Linked DNA regions of Alligator mississippiensis. The protein of the gene in region 1 interacts with the protein of each later gene in a biochemical or structural test. Links are inferred from orthologs where the notes say so. Each region holds a gene or a part of one and is shown in the gene's direction. Other genes may lie near its edges.

The links. The genes of interacting proteins can lie anywhere in the genome.
Region 2: of the proteins of PTPRC (region 1) and CSK, one has a biochemical effect on the other in vitro, tested with the Homo sapiens proteins (2 studies listed by IntAct). The link is inferred for Alligator mississippiensis from reciprocal best matches to the Homo sapiens genes PTPRC and CSK.

The regions. Positions count from the first base shown.
Region 1 is NC_081828.1:67,012,390-67,020,096, forward strand, and holds the start of PTPRC (receptor-type tyrosine-protein phosphatase C), read left to right. Parts: upstream 1-4,704; 5' UTR 4,705-4,719; coding exon 4,720-4,852; intron 4,853-5,641; coding exon 5,642-5,782; intron 5,783-7,707. UniProt on the Homo sapiens protein: Protein tyrosine-protein phosphatase required for T-cell activation through the antigen receptor. Acts as a positive regulator of T-cell coactivation upon binding to DPP4.
Region 2 is NC_081834.1:41,574,563-41,582,287, reverse strand, and holds the start of CSK (tyrosine-protein kinase CSK), read left to right. Parts: upstream 1-4,724; 5' UTR 4,725-4,739; coding exon 4,740-4,766; intron 4,767-7,725. UniProt on the Homo sapiens protein: Non-receptor tyrosine-protein kinase that plays an important role in the regulation of cell growth, differentiation, migration and immune response.

The DNA.
Region 1 (7,707 bases):
GCAGTGCGATGCTGCGGCTAGTAAAGCTACCAAAACTCTGGCTTGCATCCATAGATGCTTCTCAAGCAAATCCCGGGACGTCATTCTCCCCTTATACTCAGCCTTGGTGAGGCTGCAGCTGGAGTCCTGCGTCCAGTTTTGGGCTCCACAATTCAAAAAGGATGTGGAGAAGCTTGAGAGAGTCCAGAGAAGAGCCACGCGCATGATCAGAGGTCAGGGAAGCAGACCCTGCGATGACAGGCTGAGAGCCCTGGGGCTCTTTAGCCTGGAAAAGCGCAGGCTCAGGGGTGATCTGATGGCCACCTACAAGTTTATCAGGGGTGACCACCAGTATCTGGGGGAACATTTGTTCACCAGAGCGCTCCTAGGGATGATGGCTAGGTCGAACAGTCATAAGCTACTACAAGACCGTTTCAGGCTGGACATAAGGAAGAATTTCTTTACTGTCCGAGCCCCCAAGGTCTGGAACAGCCTGCCACCGGAGGTGGTTCAAGCACCTACATTGAACACCTTCAAGAGCAAACTGGATGCTTATCTTGCTGGGATCCTTATGACCCCAGCTGACTTCCTGCCCTTTGGGCAGGGGGCTGGACTCGATGATCTTCCGAGGTCCCTTCCAGCGCTAATGTCTATGAAGTCTATGAATTTAGTAGGTTGGGACCAATCAAAAACCATAATATATAACTTTACATAATATGTAAGTGTAATATAGGGTAAAAAGTAGACTACAATTCCCAACTACAAAAATGGAAGTGTAACATAATCTTCTTTTAAAATTGTTTTTTTTTTAATGCATTTGTTCATTGCCATAGAGCTTGGCTGGCTACCATCTGAACTTGGGATGATATTTAAACAAAAACAGACCTAGATTTTGTTGTTCTTACTAAATTAATTTAAATACTTACTTCACTGGGACTACTCCTGTATTCGTGTCCTGAGCAGGGGTAATCAAATATGGCCCTAGTTCAAAATCAAATTTTGAATAGGTCAAATTATATTTTGTCAAATCTAGTTTATAACTGCCTAACTTTAGTTCATAGGTTGAATGCCTAACAATATAAAAAATATATCTAGATATCAGGGTAAGTCAAAAAACAATCAGTATAAGTCTGGGGAGGAAACGCCAATTCTCCTCTCCCAACTAAGAACTGAAAGTATGGCATTAATGATGATGAATGGATTTCCAATTGTTTTAAATTAGCATACTTGCTTTGACTTCAGTGGACATATGATAATTTACGTCATCTGAGGATCTGACTTATTCCATTATATTGTAACTTGTTAATGTTAAAAGGATATACTTAGTTTTTATTGCCAAATTGAATCAAATATTAACTAATGCTTCTAAACAAATGAAAATATATAAAAACGATATTGCAAAGTGACAGGTAGCAACCTTTTACCATTTACATATCTGATCTATCAGTTTCCAGTTCTCAGACTTTAAGTTTTGTAGAGCAGTGGCACACTTTTGAAACATGTTCAGAGCCTTTGATGACATGTAAACAGTGGGATGGGTATTAGATTATTTCCTAATGAACAACAGCCACTAAGGAGTTTACTGTGTGCATTGTTCTTGTACCTTGCAAGTGAACTCATTGTGTTTAATGGGACTACTCAAATGCTTAAAATTAAATGCATGCTTACATTTCCTGTTGAATTAAGATGCAAAAGCAAAAAATTGTTTGCTGAATCAGGATTGATTGATTTTTAATGTATGGACTCAAAAGTGCTTAATCTTCTTTTGACATTTACCCCTTATTTTATCTCTTTTAGGTCAAGCTGAAATGTCTACTACACCTAGTAAGACAACTCTCTTCTTTTTTTCATTACAGCACTACCTTACTTCTTAGTGAAATTAGCTTGTATTATATTGTTGTTAATTACTAATAAGACAGTTAATTTAGTTTTATCTTCTGGAATGTTTAATATCTTTACATTTAGAACACTGAAAATGTGGAATGAAAATAACATGAATCAATTTATAAAGAAGGGACAGATGAATAAGTTTTCTTGTTTCTGAATGTGTAATAAGTATTTCACAGATACTGCATTATTCATTAGACAATAAGCTCTTCAGGTAAGGATTTTTTTTATATGTTTGTACATCATATAAGACAACAAAGTCCTGGCCTCTAAGCAGAAATGTAATATATGTAATTAATACTAGAGCATGGTAGGTTCTGAAATGACATCTACTACAATACATAGCAAAATGCTCATAGTTACTTGGTTTTGTTATAATGTTGGATAGTATTTTCACATTTTTCTTCCCTCAAACTTTTACCAAGGTTTACAAAATAATTCAAGAAAATTAATTACATTTTAATTTAAACTTCTAACAACTGTGATCCTAAGTTCACTCAGATCAATCCATTTTACCACTCAAATTAGTAGCATAAAATCACATTAAAATTTTAGTAGGAGTAATATTAATACAACATAGAAATTCGATTAACACATTTTAAGAGGAGTAACTACAAAACCTAAAAAATTAATATAATCTTAAATTGGCTGTTTTTGGAATCATACTGTGACAGACTTGTATTTGAACCTTTGAATGATGTTTTAACAATATCACACTATGTGTAGTCCCCCTTACTCATTTTGATTCATGTTTACTGCATTGTGAATAAGTATATCAGAATCTAATCTGTATTGTATATCTTACATAATGTCTGATTTCACCAAGGCTATTGTAGGTTGTTCCTTGGGAGCTCACCAATATCATTAGTACAGTTAGTGATGTTTTCTATGCACCATATTATTCTGATGATTCCTTTCCCTCCATCACTGATGATAGGAAACTCAAGTTCCAAATTTTCTATAGTCTTTTATTTACACTTGTATCTTAAAAAGAATATATCTACTTCACAGCTGACTTAAGATATATGTACACCATACAAAGTGCTTTGCCAACTCATCAATCCCAAAGGACATCTTAGTATGATTTTGGTGTCCTGAGGTCATATTTCTTTTAAATCATGCATGGATTGAAAGGTTATAGTCTTGTCTCAAACATGAGGGAAGAAAACTTTTCTCTTTACAAGTGCCACCTGTTTCCCTAACATTCTAGAAAATTTCAGTTATTCCCACATTTATTCCCCCTATAAGGGGCATGCATTAAAAAATGCAAGGTGTTGTGTATACTGAATGTTTCTTAATTCTGCCACTCTTTGGGTTTTGTGCACTTGAGCAAATCACTTAACTAATTGCATAGATGTCTCTAATAGGATTTAAGAAGCAATTTTGACTTAATGATTTTGCTCAGATATGACTGGACAAATTGTCTTACTAGCTTTAAATGAGCTTTAGATAAGTTCATACTTGTTTTTTTTTAATGATTGTTAAAAATAAATTATTTTGTGCATGGCACCCATTGGGTACATACACAAGTACAAAGGGCATTTGTACACATGCTTGTGCCAGAGCTCTGGGTGCTTTTAAAAGCACACGGTGCTGTGGCGCATGCATTTTTATAAAGAGCAAAATGCGCGTTAGCACTGAGAAAATAGCACACTTTTAAACTAAAAGACATTGAAAGTGTTTTAGTTCAAAAGCTCACCACCACCATTTTCTCAGCATTGACATGCATTTCACCATTTATACAAATGCATGTGACACAGCTCTGGGTGTGCCAGCTTGTATGCAGAGCAGACTTGATTAATCTGGTGTGAAGTAGCTGTCAAATAGATGAATTGAGTCTGCTTTGACAAAATCCAGCACATCAGAGCAGGCAAATGTATGTGTATAAATGCCCTAACTTTCTGACAGTTGACTTAACTTTTTCAAGTTGACTTAATTGCTAGAGCATAAGCACATATAGGGAGCACAGTTGACTTAAATGTGGTGCAAGATCATACAGCTCCAAGGTGTATCATCTTGAGTTGCATTATTTAAGTTGACTCTAAGTGCAAGGTGTCAAGGAGCTGTGTGTGTGTGTGTGTGTGTGTGTGTGTGTGTGTGTGTATGCTTCAATGTGGCTTAACTTAAATCATCTTAGTTAAGGCAACTTTAAGTCACTTTATTTTAAGTTGACTTAGTACGTGTGTACGCACCCAACTACTTCACAAAATAGATGGCACATTCTGCCTTATCCTGATACCACTGAAGCTAAATGGAAGTTTCACCTTTGACTTCAGCAAGAGAAGTCAGTTAATAAGAACAGAGCACTCAGAACTTTAGGTGCTGAGCTTGTAAAAGCTTTATATTTCCAATAACTTTGCTTACATTGTATTTTTCTATTTTTGCCAGTTGTTTTTTATGCTACAAACTAAATACAATTGATTGCCCACCAAAATAAAGGAAGAGCTAATACTGTATAACCATGCATCTTATAGGGTATGCCTGTACTTTACTCAGAGGTCTGACATCCCCAAGCTGCCTTTAAGCCATGTAGCTCAGGGAGTGATAGCAGTGTAGGTGCATTTAGCACAAGGCTGAACACAGAATAATTGCTTATTTACCCAGTGTCTGTGATTGGTTTTACACCTTATGCTTTTCTTCATGCTCCCATGACTATACTGTTACTGATAACCAGGCTAGCTACTTCAAGGTGAGCTCAAGTATGTTTATGACCTGAAGTCAGACCTCAATTCCCTTCCTTTTAGTACTTTTTTCCAAGTACAGCAACTTAATTTACATGGCACTATCATTTTCTGCATATAGTATATTGGGAAACATTAACAAAAATAATTGTACTTCCTTGCTACAGGTATCATGTCAACACGCAGCTCATATACTACCACTCATGCAGACTCAAGCTCTTCATTTGGAACCAGCAATCAGACACTCAGCAGCTCTGCTGCCCTTACCGCACACACTTCTGCTACCACCATACATAAATCATCAGGTTTGCTGTATTCCTTTAGATGTCCCAGGTTGTCAGTAGTCCTGTCTTGATTTGTTCATGGGGAGGAGTTCTATATGGGTTGAGAGTGGAGTAATTCTTAAAACAGCTCTTCCTCAGCAAAGCATGACCGTGTTAATACATGGCACAATTAATGCCCAAAAAATGGGCTTCTGCATTTTATTTCCAGATTGTATCTTATGGCTTGATCTTGCATTCATTTTTCTCACAAGTCTCCTAGGCATTCAACAACAATTTTGCAAGAGCAAGGATTGCAGAAGTGAGCCCATAAAAAAACTGAATAGAATTAGTAGTTTCTAATTAAAATGTGGTATCTATAGTACTTTGAGATTATAGTTCTGATCATACAAGCACTTGGAGGTGAGAAAAATGGTTCCTATGGAAGTAAGTTTGGCAGAGTTTGCAGATTTTTGGTACTATGGTAAGGAATAAGAATTATTATTTTTCCTAATTTGAGAGAAGGACAAATTATGAAGCCATTATGATGGCTGAATTCCAATTGATTTAGTTAGAATTTTTGTCTCACTAATGATGTCAGGATTTAATATATTATGTGGACATCTGAGGTTATTTTAAATTACAGTTAATATTTTTGGTTTTCTAAATGAAAAGACTAATAAAGCCTTATTTATGACTCTGTCCTTCATCTGTTGTGATAAGATATCAACAACAACAAAAAAACCCAACAGGAAAGATACACTTTTAATACGAACACACAGACAAGCGGAGAGAATCTCTTAATAGTATTTTGTTCTGTTCATTTCCTTGCAGATTATTCTAATCCATCACCCTTGCATGCCTCCACGTTACCATCCACGACTCTTACTCCATCCAGCAATTCAACAAACATTTCTCAGTCTTCTGCAGACATCTCACATTCCATGGCTACAACTGCTTCCAGTCTCACAATAGGTGACAGACCTGCACACAGTTATACCTCATGCATGTGAAATGTCAGAGCCTAAAGTGGCTTTATCTTTGAAAAATAATAAAAATATGTTTTGTCACAGATTCAACTGAAAAAACTAATTTTTTTTCCAGGCTGCTTACTATTGTCAATTTGATAGTTAAATTTTATTTAAAAGTTCATATTTCCTTTATGAAAGTTATGAACAGGAAGTATTATTTGTTCTTTCATCAAAAAAAAAAATGGTGAAACCTGTTTTTATACTTCAATAAATAATTATCTTCCAAGTAATTGGATTCTATTTATTTAGTAGATATCATGATTGATACACTCTCTATTCTATAATTCTGACTATGTCCTAGCTAGATATTCCAATTTTGATGAAAGAGTAATATCACTCATATCTTTAATACCATATCAATAAGAGAAATAATTTAGCTTGTGCATATGGAACTATAGGTTGTAAAACATATAATGGGAAGTTATAACTTATAATCAATTATGCAAACAGATATAAAATACATGCTGGGCATGTCTACACATGAATTTATGCGTGCCTAAACTTAATGCACCTTAGCCTAAGGCGCATTAAAGTGATTTAGATGTGTGGCTACACATGCACACCTTAAGGAACCTGAATGCGGATTGCTGACTGAATGCATTGGCAACCTGCCCTGGGCAGCACCCTGGATAGTCCACAGGAGTCCATGGCAGCATAGCTGAGCAGTGCAGCCCAGTGCTGGCCAAGGGAGTGAGAGTCTCCAGTTCTCCCAGATGTGATTGGCTCAGACCTGGACCTGGCCCTAGCTCCGGCCCTAACTCCCTCCCCATGTTCCTGCCTCCCTAGCATTGGATGACAGCAAGCTGGAGCCAAGCCTGTGGTGTTCTGCACTGCTGCTGGATACCATCAAGAAGAAGACACGGCGAGTGCTGTTCTGCAAGGTGCAAACACTGGAGCTGGAGTGCCAGTTCCAGCAGCAGCAGTACCTGTCAGCGTGCTGACTGACATGGAACTAAGTTGGCAGAGAAGGCACGAGGGCTCCTGTCAGAGCATAAGAGAGAGGCCTCCTGCAGCTCCCTGGGGGGGAGAAGAGGGCAGCGCAGCACAGACGGGGCTTTTGCTAGTGGCTCTCCCATGCCTTGGAGCAGATTTGCTGGCCAAGCAATGCAGCCCTGCAGGAGTAGGATGCCTTGCTTCCCACTCAGGATTCAGGCACCCTTAGAAGCCTGTTCTGGGATCCCACCTGGGACAGCAGGCAGACTGGGACTGCATCTGCCCCCAGCACCTGGCACAGCTTTCCCTGCTCCACGCACCTCTTCCCCAGGCAAGAGCCTGGCCTTCCTGCTGGACACTGCTCATCAGAGATGTGGCATGAGCTCCTGGGGCCTCTGCATGGCTCAGCCCAGGCAAGCTGGATGCAATGCAGGTGGAGGCTCAGCCATGGATCAGGCAGTCCAGAAAGAGCCTAGCCTCTGCCCACGTTGCTCCTAGCCAGCCCAGGCTGAACCATGCAGAGCCCCATGGGCAGTGTCCATCAGGGCAGCTATGCACTTTCCTGGGGAGGAGGTGGGAGAAGCAGAAAAAGCCATGCCAGGTGCTGAAACAGATGCAGTCCTGCCTGCTGTCCTGGGTGGAAGCCCCAGTGTGGGCTCCTAAGGGCACCTGAATCCCAGGCAGGCAGTGAGTCACCCCACCCCTGCAGGACTGCATTGTCTGGCCAGCAAACCCACCTCGAGTGAGAGGCAAGCAAAGGCCCTGCCCATGCTGTGTTGCCCCCTTCCCCACCAGGGAGTCACAAGGGGATCTTTCCCTTGTGCTTTGACAGGAGCCCTCACACCTCCTGCCCGCTCTGCCAACTTAGTCCCAAGTCAGTTGGCACACCTACAGGTAGTGCTGCTGCCAGAACCACCACTCCAGCTCCAGTGTGTG
Region 2 (7,725 bases), on another chromosome or scaffold:
TTTGCTGGCCCGTGGAATTCCAGGCTGTTTGGCAGGAAATCAAATAGCCAAATGGTGCGGTTGGAATGAAATGGGCCGGATAACTGTGTGACCTTGGTGGTTTGGGGTGGCTCAGGCAGAGGAAGAATTGACCCTCGGGCTTCAGGGCATAGGCAGGGGTCAGGAAGGAATTTTTCCATGTTCCACCCCTACGGTACATGTGCTGGTGTGGAGAATTGGTGTGGAGCCTTGGCTATGCTGGCGGACAGGTACCAGGGGTACCATGCTCCATGGAACCAGCAGTTGCCTCCAGCCTATTTCTCTTTTCAGGTTTCCCATTGTTCACTCCAGCAAAGGTTTACACCTTTGCTGATTGGGCTGGTGCTTCAAAGCATGGAATTCACCCTCATCCCCATGCAAGCTTGTTCATTTTAATTCAGGCCTTTTATTTCATTCTCTTTTGTTTGCTTTCTTCTAGTGCTGGGTCCCTTTGGAGTTGCCAGGGCCTCCAGGTAGATGCAAGGGACTGCCGGTCTATGACCCTTTTAATACAGAGGGAACTCTGGAAAAATGTTGAGTGTGCAGTGGGACACAACACTCGCCCCAGGATGGTTTATTCAGGGTTGATCCTGCCTTGAGCAGGGGGCTGGAGTAGATGGCCTGGTGAGGTCCCTTCCCTGCTTTTGTGTGACTCTTTCTCGGAGGTGTTCTTGGCTCTGGAGTTGAAAAGAGAGAAAAATCCCATCCACCTTTAAAATTCAATGGGGTGTGAGGAAATCTGAGGGAACAAGTGGTCTTAGTTCAGGAGAATAGCTACTGACCCCTTGGCTGGTGATTGGTAAGGCCAAAGGTGGCCTGGCCCCCTCCGTCTGATCCCTGATGACTGTGGGTTGCAGGGGGCAACTTTCCCAGCTGTTGCCTATTTTTCCTCCACCTGATGACTTTGGTGGAGCTGCCCCTGCCTGCCCCATGGCTGTATTTTGTTCTGTGTGTGTGTGGTTCTGTGTATGTGTTTAAGGTTTTCAAATCTAGCTGCTCTGGGGGGTTCCCCCAGACAATCAGCACAGGGTGCAGGGCTGAGTCTGTGGCTGGCCTCTTTTCCCCTCTGTAACAATTTCCCATCAGTGCTACTACTCGTTCAGCACCACTGCCCTGTAGCGAAGGGGGTAGGAAGACTAGAATAGTAATGGTTGCAGCTGGCAATAACTGTCTAACCCAGTGGTTCTCAACTTTGGTAGACTCAAAACACCCTTCAATCAGACTTGAGGACCCCCTCAGAAAATGGCAGCTCTTGGCTTTCACTCATTTCTTGAATGTGGAAAAATGCTTCCTCAGCCTGATGAAGGGTGTCTTGCTAAGAAGAATTTTTTCCAACTATTTGAGTTGGTCTAATAAAAGATATTGGATTTACCCAAAGAACCTTGTCTGAAAAATACCAGAGCAGTTCTTCTGTTGCAAGGGACTCGGAAAGCCCACGGCAGGGAGGAACGGCTTTGACACCCTGGATCCCTGTTTGAAACCTCTGGGTTTATCTTGTGAATCTTGTGTAGGTGTTCACACACCTAAGGGTGCTAATATGGCACAGCATCCCACAGCACCCTTGAAAAGATCTCATGGCACCCCAGAGTACTGCAGCACCGTGGCTGAGAATCGCTGATCTAACCCATTTGGGGCAGATCCATATGGCTAAAACTCAAGCTGTGATACTGCTTTTGTAGTTGCTGTCATTCATACAGTTCTGGAGATGGCAGGGGTGGGGGGGGGGAGTGTTTGGGGGGCGGAAAAGCATAGGGTAAACAGTAAAGGAAGTGAATCTTTCTTATCTGTGTAAACTGTCAACCTTCACTGCTTCCCTCTATGGTGAAACTCGCTGTCCCAGCACGTGTGAAGCTCAGTTACTGTTCTCTCGCATGGTAAAGCTGGGGATAAAAGAAAATAAGATGACCCAAGCTGTTTGGAACCCGATGGGGCTGGCTTATCCCACGAAACAAAGAGACCGTCTTGTCTGTCTGCCCCCGTTGTATTGCAGATCACGTCAGAGCCCGAGTTCTGTTGTGCGCGGCAGTCCCCTGTCGGTGCTGGCTGAGTCGAAGGCACAGTTTCAGTTCAGTTTGCTCAGCTCTCTTTGGCTGGGTTGCAAAGCTTTTAAACCTCAGAGGTAGCCTGCCTGCAGTTTGGGCCTCCGTTTGACTGAATTGCAAAGCTGAAGCGAAACCAGTGGAAGATACTTTTGGCCTGATTTACAAGAACGGGGCATTTGCGAGATTTCATTCAAGTAATTTCCCAGGCAGTGCCCTTCAACTGGTCCTCGCACTGCACACGGACTAGACTTACGGAGTTGGACGCATGGTGCTAGCCTACATTTGGGGGGAAGGAAGGATAGATGTTGACACTGGTTATACTGGTGTGATCCTTTAGTGGAGAAATAGCAACCCTGTGCCAATCATGGCTTGGGATGTTGTGATTTTGGGGTTGGTTGGTTAGAACCTGCCTGAACCCCAGGCCTGAGCTGAGGTGCATAGATTAGCTAAAAATATACCAGAGGAAAAAAAAATCAGGTGTAGGTGGGCTGAGTTTAAAGCACCTGTCCCAGAATAGTTCCTGTTATTATAGGCATCCAATAACATCAGCTTTCTGCCAAATTTTCTTTCTCCTTGCGGAAAAAGTCCTTTCCACGAGACCAAGACCCTGACTAGAAAAGAGAGGGGCATCAAAACCCACTGTATATTTCCCGCGCTGTGAAACTCGCACAGCCCAACCGATCAAGCAAAAACATTCTTCTTTTGTTTTTTCTTTTTTTCTTTCAGTTATGGTAATTGTGGGCATTGCGTGTTATGGCAGCAGATACAATCTTTTGCTGTGCGTTGAGGCTTTTTTTTCTAAGTTCAGTTTCATTTCATTCAGGAAGGGGAAATATAAGTTGAGCATTAGGAAATGTCTGATATTGGGATCTGGTCACTTAGGGTTAGATCACCCCAGGTGTTAAGTAGGGTGGGTTATCAGGAATATTCATAGGGTCCAGGTCTTGACTGCTAAGCTTTTTGTCTAGAATGGGGTGGGGGGGGTCGTCTAACAACTGGCCTGCAGGGTTTCTGGAGGGGCAGGGAATAGGGCTGGGGGATGAGTGAGGGTAGGGCCCGTTGCTGAGTTCTGGGGTACGGAGCCCAATTGGGGATGTGTGAGAGTGGCTGTGGGGTGAATGATGGCTGCATTAACCCTTGCTCTGCTTCTGGGGGTGGGTCCAGATCTGGCCTGTCATCCTGATCCTCCCCGGGGAAGGGGGCAGGCAACCTTGGCAGCCCTGGTTTACAAGGAAGGCTTCTGTCTTCTGGGAAGGACCTGTCATATCTGAGTGCTGCCTCCTTGCCTCTGAGGGCAGAGACCACTCCGGTGCAGCTGCAGCTCCCAACCTGGCCCAGCAGCAGAATGAAACCCAGGAGACTTTGATCAGTTTTAGTCCTCCTTGTAGAGGCAGGAAAGGTGTGAAACCCAGTAGACTTTCCCTTGTGGGAGGGTGACCTTTAAGCAGCAGCAGAAACCAGTCCTAGGCCTGCTTGCTGCATGGGAGGATTTGAACAGTGGAGTGGGGATGGCAGGTGGGCAGAAGATGTGGGCACTTTCATTAGAGCTGCCAAGGTACGGGGGCAGGTCAGCATGTACCCAGCCATCAAGAGAGTGAGGAGGCCTGGAGCCACAAGGATAGTCGCTCCTTCCAGCCAACAGCTGCGGACAAGCCGAGTGGGGGATACAAAGGATGAGGCCCTGTATAATTGAGGCATCAGCTAGCAGGGTGAAGAGCGACAGACATCAGTGCTTTCTCCCTGGCTTGGGTGAGGGGTCACCTCTGATCACTCCATTTCCCACTTCAGTCTGCTTCGAGCAGGGGCCAGGGACAGCCTCTGCATAGGAATTCCCACGCATCCCCTCTCCCCAGCTGCTGGGAGTGGGAGCAGGATTTCTCTCTTGTTGGTAGGACTTCTTTCCCAACCCACGGCTAGCAGGTCAGATCTGCTGGCTAGTTGATGGTTGCTGAGTTTTTTTCAGGCCTGGCTGTATCTTGTGGAATGGGCTGTGGTTGGGAGTGGGTGACGCGGCCATCGGAGAAGTAGAATCTACGGTCGTAGCCACTGCCGGACAGTTGTGAATCAGCCGAGGGGCGGACTAGGGATAATCCAGTGGGATTTGTCCGGTGGCTTTAAAAAAACAAAACCAAACTGGCAGAAACAGTGCTACATTCACCCACTGTCAAAGCATCTTGTGCTCTGCCTGCCTCCCCTCCCTCCTATAGAGGGAGATCAGCTCCAGGGGAGGTCCCTACAGACCCGGGAGCTAGGCTGCCTAGGGAGCCTACGCTATGATTTCCTTATTGTGTGCAGCAAAGTTGTGAACTGGGTTTGAAATGAAAATGCACTGTTTCCCATGCGCACGCCCCCCCACCCTCCCTGCCGCTCCTCCGCACTCCCTGCCCTTGCGGTGGGGTTAGGAATCGATAGCATCTGGCCGCCAAGCGCACAGGCGGATGGACCGGAGCGACTGTGCTCTCAGCTCCCGGTGATTGCAACCTCAGCTCTTGGTGCAGGATTTTCCTTTTGCATCAGGCACTGTGGGGGTTTTTTCCCCCCTTCTTCCCCCCTCCGTCCCCCTCTCTGACTGGAGGAACTGCAGGAGATGAAAGAGAAGCGGGGATCTCTCAGTGGAGCCCGGCAGCCACCGTCTCACTGATTCCTTTGCTTCTCTGCTCTCCTGTTATGTAACCAAAGATGCTTCTCAGCTTCTGCTCTGGTCTTGTAAGTTTTTCTTTCCCTCTCTTTCTTCCTCCCCACTGTATCCCCCCCATACCACCTCCCCCCTGGCCCTGACCCACCTTGGAAAGGCATAAATAACTAAGACTGGCTGAAAGGCTGCTGGCTGGGCCCCGTGCTGCAGAGGCTCAGCACTGCATGGTTAGGATCTGCTCCAGTCCTCTGCCTGGTGCGATGGCGTTTGGCCCAGGCAGCCTTCATGCCACCGTAGATCCCAGCAGCCTCCACCATTGTAGAGAAAGGCTCTGTTATAGCCTGTGGCTTCAATGGCTGTGCAGGTCAGTCGGTGGTGGTGGTTGCGGGGGTGGATCCCTGGTCTCTCTGCTGCAGGCAGTGATGAGGAGGAGTGTAGGGGAGAGTGTGTGTGTGTGCTGGGGGCAGGGGTGGCCAGTTTTGAGGGGGATGGAGGGTTGGGCTTGTCACTTGGGTTACCCCCCACCCCACCCGCCAGCAATCACAGGGTTCACATCTGCTGTGCTGTGGGATGAAGAAGCAGGTGCAGGGTGACGAGGGAGATCGGACCAGCTGTGGGATGGGATCTGTGGGGGTGACTATGATTCCTCCTGGTTCTGATGTGTGGGGGAACATGCTGAGCAGGGCATCTGGCTGAGCAGCTGGCTAAGCCTTGGGTTTGAAACTCCTGTCGCCCGAGTCTCCTTTGCATTAAGGCTGAGGCTCCTGCCCAAGCCTCGCGGCTTCTGCTCGCTCGGACCCTCCCTCTTTGTTTCCAGAGTCAGGTCGATGAGAATTGAGTCCAGAGACCCCCCCTCCATTGACTGGCAGTCAGGAATTGCAGCCGGTTGCGCTCGTCCACTTTCCCCTCGGTTGGATATGCAAGTTCCGTGAGGCTCGGCTCTGTGGTCAGTCTTGGCGGCTGTGGTCCAGTCTGTGCTGCAGTGATGGGAGAAATCCTCCTGGCATGATGGAAACATCAGGCTGGCTTGATTGTGCTTGGCTGCCTTTCCTTCCTTCCTCCCCTAGGCCAGCTGGGCTTAGACTGGCGGTTGCCTTCCTCCCCAGAAATGGCTGCACTTGAGTGGTATTGCATGTGTACAGGTTGCAAGCATGGTTTCAAGTTCCCCTCTGTAGGCACCATCTTTGGAAATACAGTGGAAAGGGGCTGCACCTTCCCCCTTGATCCACAGAAGGTTTTCGCCAGTTAGTGAGGGGGATGTTTTAAATAACCTTCCTCACCTGCCACCTAGCCCTAAACTCTACCTCCCCACCTCCCCCCCACTCTACAAGCCTTGGCAAGGAAGCCTTCCAGCATGCCACTAATTCAGGCTCCAGTAGAGCAAGTGAGGAGCAAGCCCCAGGGTTGAGGTTTCTCCTAGAGTGTCCCAGCTTTGTCAGATAGCAGTCAGCAGCTGGGAGAGAGCTGTGATTTCATAGGGAACCAGGTCCTGAAGCGTAAAGCTTTGCATTGGTGCCTTGAGTTTATGGGAAAGTAGGGCTGGAAGGGACCTTGTGAGGTCACCTCGTCCAGCCCCCTGCTCGAGACAGGATCATCTTTGAGTTTCACCTGGATGTGTGTCGGCAGGTGGGGGCATCTCTCGGAGCAGGGCAGTGGTGTGCTCCTGACGTGTGGCTCCCCCCGGGAATCCCCCTGCGGCACTGTGTGCTAATCTCAGCATGCAGCAGCGCTGGGAGCTTCCGTTGCTGCCAGGTGACAGAGGCATAGGTGACTGTGGCAAGGTCCTTACAGTGGAGAGGAGAGGCTGCCCCCTTCCTCCAGGCACCCGTAGGAATCACACTCTTGACCTAAGGGCACCCCAGCCTGGTACAGGACAGCCCCTGCGACCCTGGAGATAGTAACAGCAATTGTAGAAATAAGCAGCTTTTATATGTCGACTGTGGCTCTTCAGGCTGTGAACTCTGAGCCTCCAAAATAAGCAGGCCATTGTTTTTGAAAGCTTGCACATCTCTGATTTAGTTAGCTTATTGCAGGGGCGGCCAACCTGTGACACAGGCAGTGTTTGTGGATTTGCCCCTCACAAAAGCAAGGCATCTGTGCGGGGGGTATCTTGCTGCAGTACAATTTCATTGTATTGAGTTCAGCAGAGCCGTTGGGGAATCGCTTGTGATCTGGTGTTCTTGGCTGCATCCAAAAGCCCAGCGAAGCCAGCGGGCATCTTTCTGCTGACATCCCTGGGTGTTGGACCAGTTGCCCTGGAGCAAGTAATGGAATAAATCAGGTAGGGACCTAGCCCAATGATTGCAGGCTTCAGACCCACTGGAGAAGCTGGTAGGATGCTGGAGAATCAAAGTCCTATTCCTGGACCGTTTGCATCCATAGTGATGACCTGTGGCTGCTTAGCAGGGGAGGTGGGAGGAACCACGGAAGCTGCCTGTGTTCATGGACAGCACAGACCCCTCCCCCTTTCCTAGGCCATCTGCCCATGTTAAGGCTGAAGTCAGCTTCCCACGTTAAGCCTATTCCCACCCACATGCAAGAGAATCTGCTCCCATCTCTCTCTCAAGGCCGGCAGCAGCGTCCATGTCAGAAATGCCACTCTCTGGCCTCCTCCCTGGCCCTCTCTGCAGGCCGGACCTCCAGACATGTGGGCAGAGGGGAGGACTCCACACTACGCCTTTTCTGTGTTGCCTTTGCCCTACAGGCAGTTAACCTTTCAGGATCCACTAGCTTGGAGGGGGGAAGGGGAGGGGATCAGCTGCCTCTGGTATTGATTCGGTCTCGGCTCTGACACGAGGGTCAGTAGATTTGTGCCAGGGCCGTTATCTGCGGGTTCTAACCGCTCATCGTCTCCCAGGATGGGCGAGGAACCACAGCTGGCAAAGAGCCTCTGGCCCAGCCCGGTTGATCACTTCTTCCCCACTCCCCTTCCCCCACCCTTGTCTGTATTTCCTCCTGAAACAGCTCGTGGCTGGAGCTTGCCTCCTCTCCAGCCAAAGCAGGCACATTTTGAGGGGGAGGAGCCTATGA